Sus scrofa: one gene and its partner. The protein of the gene in region 1 interacts with the protein of each later gene in a pairwise test. Links are inferred from orthologs where the notes say so. Each region holds a gene or a part of one and is shown in the gene's direction. Other genes may lie near its edges.

Region 1 (5,851 bases):
GGTGCTGCCCGCTGGCCTGCCAGGGAGGAAAGCTGTCACTTGTGGATAGGCTCTTACTGCCAGCACCAGCACCCTAAGATAACCGCTGAGCCAAGCCTCAAATTCCCCTTTCCAGAGCTGCCAGGGTCTCTGCGTGGACTCCTCTGCACACTGGGGTCTACGAGCCTCTGTAGTCGGAGGACAGTGGGTGAGGCTGGGTCCCCTCGGCCCACCCCCAGGGAGGAGATACAGTTTATCCCATGGAAATGAGCCAGGAGGTCTCTACCTTGGTCCTTTGCTGTATTTTCTCTGTTTGTACATTTCATTTGAGATGTGCTTTGGGGTATAGATTATAGAATTTATCCTTTACCCTGTCAGTCATTACTGGGTCCTTTTTCATACTCAGGTTTTAAAAGAAATATATTTAATATATATATTCCATTGTCCTCTACCCAGACTCATGTCCTTCTCATAATGTCTTAAACACATACACACACAGGTGTGTGTGTGTGTGTGTTAGCTATTAGGGTCCATTATTTCATTGGCAATTATAATTCTTTAAAAACAAAACATATTGACATCTTTACCCTAACGACATGGTCCTATAAATTGTTTTAGACTCTGTTTTGATTTGCTTATTTTTTGTTTTGTAGAGAGTAGCTGTTTCCGATCTTGCCTATTTTGCCATGTCCTTCTGTCCTGTGTGACAGATGACCAATAATTCAGTGAGATCTTGGCACTGCTGAGAGCAGAAGGTGGTTTGTGAGGTCTGGTTTACAGTCAATCCCTTATCTCTGGTTTGCTTTCCATGGTTTCGGCGACCCCATGGTTAACCGCAATCTAATGTAAGATACTAGATGTAAGATATTAGAGACCACACTCACATAACCTTTATTACAGTATGTTGTTATAGTTCTCTTCTATTACTAGTTACTGTTGTTAATCTCTTACTGTGCCTGACTTATAAATTAAACTTTATCAGAAGCGTGTGTGCAGGAACAGGCATAGGGTCTATAGGGACCAGTACTATCCTTGGCTTCAGGTACCCACTGGGGGTCTGGGAACATATCCCCCGCAGATAAGGGGGGGAGCTACTGTACTTTGCTGATAAGGTTAAGCCTGCCCACCCAAGGAAGCCAGCATTCTTAGCAGCAATGGTAGTTGTAATAGTAATGATAATAAATCAGTGTATCAGCTTAAATCTGTTCCCATGAAGGGAAAAGCATCTCAAAATGTATTAACTTCTGGTAAGTAAATAGCATGATTAATCTTTTTATTGCAGGGCTGTTTAGCTTTCCCCTGCTCCTCATTTTAGAGGAAGCAAAAGGAGTCTAGGTGAGCAGTTCAGATATTTGAGGATTATGTTAAAGTGTTGAACACCTGTTATACGGCACTGCAGAATGCCCCCCTGAAACATGTGTGAAGTGACCCCTGCTTTTTAATCATCTCCTTATGGAGCTGGAAGTGGGGAAGTGCCTCAGGTCGGGGCTTTGGGGAAGCTGGGCCATTGGCCATTATTCTTTTGTGTATTTCTCGGAATGATCAATAAATGCCTTGTGCCAAGCATCTCCTTTTTTAGTTTAATTGCGAATGTTAATGAATAAACGCTCTACTGACCTACTTATGAATTTCAGGAATTTTGGAAAGCAAAAGACTGGACCTCGTGAAGGAGAAAACCATTAACCAGACCATTGGAAATGTTGTTTACTACGCGGCCGACTTGCCCATCTGGTGGCAGGTGCCCCAGTACGTGCTGATCGGCATCAGTGAAATATTCGCGAGCATCTCAGGTACAGGTCCTGTCAGGGCATCTGAGCCCAGGCCCGTCACAGCGTAGTAAAGGCCGTGCTATTCCCTTCCATGATGCTGTGTCAAGACAGCGCAGCACAGCACTTAGCGGCTCTGGGTGGGCCGCTGTGGTTCAGGGTCTGAACTGGTCAGAGAGTTCCTTTCTTGGAGTAGAAACGTCAGCATGGAATTCCTCTACTACTGTAGAAGTTCCACAGGAGAGGAAAGAAGAAGAAAGAGCCCACGGGGTGGGCTGGGTCTGACGCTTCCTACCAGGCCCTGCAGTCTGTGAGGCAGCCAGGCCTCGGGGTGTCCGCACAGCCCGGCTCTCGCCTTCAGATTTATAAGGAGCAAACCTAATGTTAAAACATGTTGGCACAGGCCTCTCTTGCCTCTCCGTGAGGCCCTGTGCTGCCCTGTGGACAAGCAAATTCTGTGCAGGCCTGTGTCCAGCTCCCGGGAGTGAGGGGAGGAGAAAATGAGTGATAACCAGGAGCCACCGGGCTGTGGGCAGTGATGCAAACTCCCCCCACCTCCCACAGAACCCATGCAAAGTTGGCTGACGCATTTGAGGAGGGAATAAATCAACAGGATGGCCTTTCATGTAGAACAGATCTCCGTGTCTGGTTATTTCACCAATGACTGAGTTCATGCACGGAGCTCCCGATGCCGCTGCGAGGCACTAAGACGGGGTTCCTAAGTGCTCTCCCTGCTGCAGTACAGCACTTTGTTTGCAGATTCCTGTTAGCTGAGAACTAGAGGGCTTTTGCTGCTCCTGCCTCTTTTTTTCCGACAGTCAGCTGCTTTCAGTGTGAGGGCTGGAAGTGACTTGCCCCAGAGATTCTGCAGGGCCCTGGGTGCTGGCCTCAGCAGGTGGGGCTGAGCCCCCCACCCCCCACCCCCATGCTCTGCTTTCCTTTTCCAGGCCTGGAATTTGCATACTCGGCTGCCCCCAAGTCCATGCAGAGTGCCATCATGGGCCTGTTCTTCTTCTTCTCTGGTGTTGGATCGTTTGTGGGCTCAGGGCTGCTGGCGCTGGTGTCCCTCAAGGCCATAGGGTGGATGAGCAGCCACACGGACTTTGGTAAGTGCCCCCCACCCCTGGAAAATAAGCAGGGCCGGGGGCCCCGGCTGCGGACACCTGGGTGGGGTGTGCTGGGTGTCACCAGGCTGAACTGGGAGCTGCCCTCAGCCTCGGCCACACCTGGTCAGCTTTGCTGCTGCTGTTTCCTCGGAGTGTGTTTGGTGAACAGACTCCACCTTCCTGCCCAACACTATGTTTATGAGGTGAAGGACATCTATATATGTATTTCCTTTCATTTACCTTTTCGTAAGTGGTTTCTTTTTTTTTTTTCCTTTCATTCTCCTGTCAGTACCTTTTAGTTTTCTGTTACATAGAAATAGATAATAAGCTGCCTTTTTATTTTTTTATTTATTTTTACTTTTTTTTTTGTCTTTTTGCCATTTCTAGGGCCGCTCCCGCAGCATATGGAGGTTCCCAGGCTAGGGATCGAATCAGAGCTGTAGCCACCGGCCACAGCAATGTGGGATCTGAGCCATGTCTGCAACCTACACACAGCTCGTGGCAACGCCAGATCCTTAACCCACTGGCCAAGGCCCGAAACCTCATGGTTCATAGTTGGATTCGTTAACCACTGAGCCATGGCAGGAACTCCATGAGCTGCCTTTTTAAAAGCAAATGTTACTCACCATGGATCAGAGTGGAATTTTACAGCTGATACCAGTAGGTGGCATCTTGAACAAAACCACTCAGGAGATGAGAGCTCTGCGGTTTGCAGATTTAGGATACCTTTAAACAGGCCCAGGACATGGAAGTTTCTTTGTATATTTTACCAGTGAAAACCACCATGTTGCTTTTGATGTGCAGTCCTGTGACATTTGCTATCCCCTGAAAGCCACTTGCAGGTGAAAATCCCTTTGAACATTCTGATGAAAGCTTAGACATTTCTCAGAAATGGCAGAAATCCAAAAGCCTCCCCATGATGCAGGTGAAATTCCTGTCCTGCGTGGAGCTTAGGCCTTTAGATAGAGTCCTTGTGTAACTTCCAGGATCCGCCTCAGGCACTGTCAGGCTGTGGTCCAGCCGTGTGGGTGAGTGGTGTGTGGGCAAGTGGTAGGGCAGCCTCGCCATTGTGGTGAGGGGGCAGCAGATCTGGGCTTTGCTTGTCCCCGCCCCCTGGAGGGTAATGTCCGGTTCCACAGAGGTCCTGGTGTCACATTATCTGTACAGGACAGACCTCCTTCAGAGAGAGGCTTGTTACAGAGACCAAGCCCTTGCAGTTCTTAAGACTCAGGTTCTGTTTCTTTGTTTATGCTGTACTTGCAAATGTATGTATCATAAAGGACTGATTGGCTTTTGTCATTCTCTGCTTTCCAGTGATGTAACCCCTCATGACTGGCTCAGTAACTCGTAGATTCCCTGTCATGCGTCCTTTAGTTTTGATGGGCAGTTTTTACACTTTTTGGTACTTCTGTGTCCGGTGCATGTACAGATGTGGACCTGGACTCTGACTGTTGACCTTATTTTCGTGAGAAGGGAACTCTCTGTTGGCTGTGTGTTCTGGATCAGCTGCCTATCCGGATGCTGGTGTCGCCTCCTCGCCACAGCAGTGAGGGCCGTGTGAGTCTCCTACCTGCCAGCTCGTGTGTCCTGGGTATGAGATGAAGACATGGTGCAGGAGGACATGGCGGGTCTGCTCCCTCTGTTTAGGGGCTGGTGGATCTGGGAAGAGAATGGGACCAGGTGCTCCCCCCACACAGAGTCCTTGCTTGTGTAGAAGGAGCTGCCACTCTGACCCCAGACCCCATGGCTTCTCTGTTCTGAGCTCCTGCCAGCCTTGCCCCCACCAGGCCCTGGTTTCGCTGCAGTAGAGGAGGCGGAGGAGGAGCTGATGGACGTGTGTCAGGCTCCAGGAGAGCCCCAAAGGGAAAGGCACCCAGATTCTCCTCATTGTTTCCCCCTTTCCCCAGCTTTGTGATTGTTTATTTAGATTGGCGGTCACAGCCCTGCTATGAAGGGCACTGACCTTAGTGCACAGCCAGTCTCCTTAATTCAGATCCAAACACAGAACTATTGGGAAGGTGTCCTGGGTCCTTTCTTAGCCCCCAGGCCCCCACAAGATGAGCTGTTCTGCAGTCGGCTCAGTGATCCTTCTGCATCTCGTCCTCTGCTGTGGTCTCCTTTCCCTCAGCACTTGTCGGGGTCTCCCCTGCGATTGGGTCTATGTGACTTCTGTGGAGTGTCCCTGTACAACTAACCCTCATTCACCTGCACTGCGGTGGGTGGTGTTTGTGGTGTCTCCAGTTTGAGGCTTGGGAATAAAGCAGCTGGGCATGTTCTGGGACATGTTGGTGGACTCGTGTGCTTGTGTCTTGGGGCCCGGTGTCTGTCTCACTCGGGTAGAAAAAAACCAATGTTTACCGTCTTCATGTGTAAGTACCTTCTGTCTGTGGAGACGCCCAAGAAAGTATGGGTGATTGATCGCTTTTAGGTGGTGGGCCCATTCTGAGTGCCCTCCTAACCCCAAACTAGGACACCCTGGCAAGGGGCAGTGTGCATTTCTCTGCCTGCAAGGAAAGCACAGCATACGGTCGTGTGGCTGCTGGCTTTACGCTTTGGAAGTTTTAAATGACTCTCTAATTCTGAGAGACTCACATCAGAGTTGGCATGTAGAATGGCATGATTTATGCTTTGACAACAGCCTTGTCGTCGTGGCACCAACACCACCAGCACTGCAGCAGCGCCAGTGAACCAAGCTCCATTGGGGAGTCGGAGGAGGAAGGGGGTCCTGTGTCCAGGGCAGAGCCCTGCATGTAGTAAGGGCCAAACCATTATTTTATAAATATCTGTTGAGTAAGTAAGCCACTCTGGTAGGAAATTCTAGGTGTAACTGGATCTCTTCCATATAAATCATTGTCTTCTACAGCCCGAATGAGTGAGAATTCTTGAGAGACATGTGAGTACTTATTATACAAACATGTGTATTGTATTCTGTTTATTAATCAAAGCAGTGTTAAACATCTGATCCTAATGAGTACATATGTTCATATAGGAGAAGGAAGT
Region 2 (5,390 bases), on another chromosome or scaffold:
TACTTTTGCTTTGAGTGTGGGGAACACAGTGGGAGCTGTGGGAGGGCCTCGGTGTGTCAGGGAGCTGTGAGATGGCTGCAAGAAGCAGTGTGATGTCGCAGGAAAGAAGCAACGGTGCGGGCTTGGATTTCAGCTCCTCTCTGATCCAGGCCCCATCGCTTAACGAGCTATGTGACTTTGGGCAGGTCACATGCCCACTCAGAACCTCAGTTTCCTCATTTACAAAATGGAAGTAATAATGCTTGGAGCATGTAGACTTCAGATCTCTAAAAGAGGGGAAAACAGGAGTTCCCATTGTGGCTCGGTGGTTAGCGAGCCAGACTAGTGTCCATGAGGAGGCGGATTTGATCCCTGGCCTTGCTTAGTGGGTTGAGAATCCAGCATTGCTGTGGCTGTGGTGTAGGCTGGTGGCTTCAGCTCCAATTGGACCCCTGGCCTGGGAACCTCCATATGCTGCGGGTATGGCCCTAGAAAGACATAAGACAAAGCAATAAAAAATAAAAGGGAGGAAAACAACGTTGCCTGAGTGCTGGCTGAGTGCCCACGGGCTCAAGTGTTTAATTATATATCCAATCCTGTGGAGCAGATGTTAAGCCCCATTTTACAGATGAGACAGTTTAAGCTCAGCGATCTTAGAGTCAGCACATTCAAAATACAGTCAGATTTGTATTTCGCCCCATCACTTAATGAGCTGTGTGTGTGATGCTGGACAGGTCGAAAACCCACTCTGAATCTCAGTTTCTCTGTCTACGAAGTGTGGGTAACAATGCCTACCTCCGCGGTTCTTGAGGGTTAAGTGAGGTGGAGCCTGGAAGAGGTGGGCAGGGAGAGCCGAGCACAGCCGTCCTTCGAGGCAGGCGCTGAGGCTCACCCAGCCCCGCTCAGTGCTGCCTGGCATGAAGAAACGTGCCCCCACCACCTCTCAGACGCTCCAGAAGCAGAAGCGGTTATGTAGCCATCATCCCAGTATTCAGCCACTCCCAGAGCCTGGACACTGCACAGGACGCTGCAGAGACAAAAGGGGGCCTGGTGACAGGGAGGCGGAGTGCGCCCCTGTCTGTCCCTGAGGCTCCCCAGCCCCCTGAACTGGCCTCCTATGGAAGGATCAGCTTGGAGCCTGTGGCCTTCCGATCTCTGAAAGGGAGAGGAAGTGACCTTTCCCAGGTGCTGCCGGTGTATAATGTGCCCAAGTGTCTTATTGCCTCCAATCCTGGTGGCAGGATTATCTCCATTCTACAGATGAGAAAACTAAGGCTCAGCAAAGTGACATGAACAGTCCCAGTTCCACAGCTAGAAGGCAGTGGAGCTGCTAGGCCAGGGGAGGGGGCCTCACTAATGCCTCAGGCCCGCTGGGCAGGGATGAGAGGGCAGCACCGATTAAAGGGTGACTTATAAGTGGGTCTGGCTGTTCCCACGGGTGGGTCTCAGGGGCTCCCCAGGCTCAGCGTTGGGTGGGGCCAGGAAGGAGGGTAGGTGAGTGTAGAGGACACTCGGGCCTCATCCTGTGCTCTCTGGACCAGCAGAGGCAGCGGGATGTGTGGCCCTGATTCTCCCCAGCGTCTGAGTCCTCATGAAAAACCTCCCGGGCAGATGTTGAAGTATGAGAATCACCAGATCCCCAGCTGGCCTCCCGCCGAGGGCTCTCCTAGGCTTGTGCCATGGGGTCCAGGAGACCCCGCTCAGAAGTCCTTGTTTAGACGCACTGCCCTGGCTCCTCCAGGCACATGTCACCATCACTGGGCCACAAAAACAGTGTGGCTCCTGGGCCTGAGATCTCTGTCCATGGGCGCCATTCTCCAGACCCAGGGTTGCCATGGTGATGCCAGGTACTTTTGACCCTAGCATTGGTCCTGCGTGGCCGCCAAGATCTGCACCAGCTGCCAGTGGGAGGGGAGGGGGCGCAGGGTGGGGAAGGCCTGGGGGTGGCTTTGCCGTGGCCCTTGAGACTCAGGAGCCTGAGTGCTGGTTCCAGTTCCGCTTCTACCTGGCTGTGTGACCGGGGTGATCACCGCTTCTCTGCCCAAGTGTCAGTGCAGGTGAATGAGCTTTACCAGCTCCCCCCAAATCCCAGAGCCTGGCCTGGTGCCCGGCCAGAGGACCTTGGAGGCAGGTCCCCGTCCTGTCTGATTTCCTGCTGCATCCAGGAGACCTCCATGGCCCTGAGGTAGCTTCCCACGGACGTGCCTCAGCTGACCGTCTCCCTCCCCACCTCCCCAGTTAAGGGCTGGCCTTCCTGCTGCTGCACAAGCAGAGGCCACCACTGCCTCAGGCGTCTGTCCTCAGCCCAGCTGTCAGCACACACACACCACATGGGCTCCCTGGGGTTGTAAGCTGGCACAGAGCAGGGAGCCAGGGCTGCTGTCTGCTTGGCCTCCCTCCCGTATCCAAGCCTGATCCCCATGATTCTGTCCGGGATACTGGGGCCATCCCATAGGCAGGCTCTGGGCCGTCTCAGCTTCACTGAGAAGCTGAAAAAGTTCTTTTAAGGCATGGCATGCAGCCACGCCAGGCATCTCACTGGGCTTGGCTAGATGGATGGCAGTCCTGCAGGGGGAGGAGAGGGATGTTTGCACAGGGACTGACGGGGCATTGGCAGTGAGCCGCCTACCCACAGCTGCTGGGGGCTGGGGCCTGAGAGGGGGAGCTCAGGCCCAGGCGTCCTGGCATGGGGAGGCCTGGGACAAGGGTGAGAGGCGTCAAAGAAGCTCTGAAAAGCAAATGTATGGAAAGATGCCCTGGGCTGGCTGTGCAGATGCCAGCAGCCCGTCTGGGGAACCAGAGTCATGGGCTGTCACAAGGAGCCCTGGCACTGCCATGAGCTCTCCAGTGACTGGGGCTCTGCGGTCACTTGTCTTTCTGCCCCAGCAACCTGGTCTCCGAGCATCAGCCCTCTCCAGAAGGCTTTTCCTGGAGGGACGGGCTGAGCCCAGCACAGCAGGGATTCTTGGCTGAATTCACCTGGGCCGCATCCTCTGTGAGTGGGGACCAGGTCCTGGATGGACTTAAGTCTAATCCAGGCAGAAAAGCCCTTGTCCACAGCCCCTTCCTCACTGGTGCTACTAGTCCCAGCCCTTTTGCTTCCTCACGCAAGAGGCACCGGGGCCGGGGTAAAAGCCCCTGGGGAGTTCAGAAAGGTCTCGTTGGCGCACCATGAGGAGTTGGGGTGTGCTCGGTCCACAGGGAAGCAGGGAGAGGGCTCTGAAGTCAGATTCTCTCCTCATTTCTTCTCTCTCCCGTCTCCCCGTATCTCTCTGTCACTCATTCTCTTCCATTAAATAATAATACTGTGATGGATCGTAAAAGGTACTTAGCTGAGTCACAGAATATAGAGATGGAAGAGACCAATTAGATCATCAAGCCCATCTCTCTCCCGAGAAGAGGCAGAAGATAGGAGACAACAAGAAACAATTTTATTGGGATATTAATTTAGGCGCCTGAAGGCCTTGACTTGTGTCTCTGAATATAAGGCAGCGGATTTTTCCCCTGCCCTCCTAATGTAATAACGGGGCCGTTCTGTAGGCAGTTGGTTTGCATGACGGCTCTTGCTTCCCTCCTTTTCCCACGGAAGGTCCAGATGGAGTTTCGGAAGAGCTGGGAGCGCTGGCGGCTGGAGCACCTGCACATCCAGAGGGACAGCAGCATGAAGCCCTTCAAGTGTCCCACCAGCAGCCTGAGCTGCGGGGCCACGGTGGGCAGCAGTGTGTACTCAGCATCCTGCCAGGCCTCCTGCAGCTAAGACTCTGGCACCTGCCCTCCTCGTGGTCTCGCTGCTGGCTGGGCAGCCACCGCAGGTGGGAGAGACCCTCCCGGGGATGGGGGCAGTGGGGTGGGGTGGGGAGTGACACAGGCGCACACGCAAACTTCCCCACTTCACTGCTTTCCCCTCCCACACCCATCAGACGGGCAAATGGGCAGTGCCTCCTGGGAACCGTGGACACATTTTCTCCGAGGAGAAGCAGCCTGTTAATTTAATCACTGTGGCGGGAAGAGAGGGAAAAAAAATTGCTGCTAAAATGAGGAGGATTTCTTCCTGTTAAGCCACAAGGCCCCTGGGGTTCCCCCAGACAGAGCAGCAAATCAGCCCTAGACTCAAACTCAAGGTCAATGGCTTATTAGCGGGCTGGGTGCTTGCAAGCGGATGTGGTTCTGAAAGGGGCAGACTTCACCTCAGCCAAACCTGGAGCTTGGGCAGTGAGCCAACAGCGCCTGCCCCCGGTCGGGGTCACCACCTGTTGGCCTCCTCAGGAAGGGACGCTGGACACACGTCCAGGTCGCATGTTTCCCCCATCTGGTCCCCGCATCCCACCACCCAGCTTGTCTTTGAGGGGCGGGGCTTTCTAGAAATGGCTGGGGGTGGTGTTGAAAATGAACATTGAGAAGGTGCCTGAAGGTTTTCTTTTCTGGAACCCACTTCCCTGGTATTGGGGTTGCTTTGGGGCCTGCTCCCACCACGCCCAGGGAACCAGGGCAGGCCCACTTCCACGGAGCCCAGCCTGGGGAATGAGCTCTGATTTCTATCCTAGAGGAGCTTGAGAGTCTTCTAGGGCTCACCTAGGGGACTCTAGGAATGTCTACATTGGGCGTGTAGATTACATAATACTGTTGGCAACCCAAAGGGTCAGGAGAGATGGCCCCCACCTCTCAATGGAAAGGCTTTTCATTCGTGATCAGACAATGCGTCTTGCGGGAGTTTGGGTGCGCCCTCTAGCTTTAGGGCCTGTGACCAAGAAGAGCCTCTTCCAGGAATCCCCGCTCCCACTGTCACCATGGAGTCGGTTTCCCCAGCCCTTGGTTTTTTTCCCTTGCCAATCCCCCTACTTGAGAGCTTGTATATACTTTATTCATCGGTCTTTACTGTGGCAAATGCTCTGTATGTGCAAATGTGCGATTCCGCTCTCTCCCATCCAATGGAAGTAAGCACCAAATCATGGTGGTGGCCAGGATGCTGTTGGAGGGAGTGGGGTAGTTATTGATTTGACTCATCCATACTTTGAGCTATTTAATGTACGACCTGCCTCCAGTCTCGGCCCATAACTAATGAGCATCTGAGAAGCTAGACAGGGAAAACCCATCAATCCTGCCACAGTCACGGTGGAAAGGCAGACACACAGCCCCCCTGCAGAGACCCAGACAAAGGGGGAAGAGCTGGAGGCTCACAGTTGAGTTCCTGGATGTAGAGGAAGTTTCCAGAGCAGGAGAGAACTCTTTGGAGGGCAGAGCAGGAGTCTTTGGGTGAATCCCCTTATGAATGGATCTTGTCTTCCCTTCTGGTTTTTGAGTAGTGGGGGGACCCTCCCTCAAAGCCTTGTGCCAGACACATTCTCCTCTGCCCCTCAGAGAGGCATGTGATGTGCAGGCAAAATCATAATGGGATATAAAACACATCAAGC

Evidence for each region.
Region 2: the proteins of SLC15A4 (region 1) and GLP1R interact in a protein complementation assay, tested with the Homo sapiens proteins (2 studies listed by BioGRID). The link is inferred for Sus scrofa from reciprocal best matches to the Homo sapiens genes SLC15A4 and GLP1R.

The regions. Positions count from the first base shown.
Region 1 is NC_010456.5:26,145,403-26,151,253, forward strand, and holds part of SLC15A4 (solute carrier family 15 member 4), read left to right. Parts: intron 1-1,613; coding exon 1,614-1,769; intron 1,770-2,692; coding exon 2,693-2,851; intron 2,852-5,851. UniProt on the Homo sapiens protein: Proton-coupled amino-acid transporter that mediates the transmembrane transport of L-histidine and some di- and tripeptides from inside the lysosome to the cytosol, and plays a key role in innate immune response.
Region 2 is NC_010449.5:34,530,619-34,536,008, forward strand, and holds the end of GLP1R (glucagon-like peptide 1 receptor precursor), read left to right. Parts: intron 1-3,568; coding exon 3,569-3,736; 3' UTR 3,737-3,738; downstream 3,739-5,390.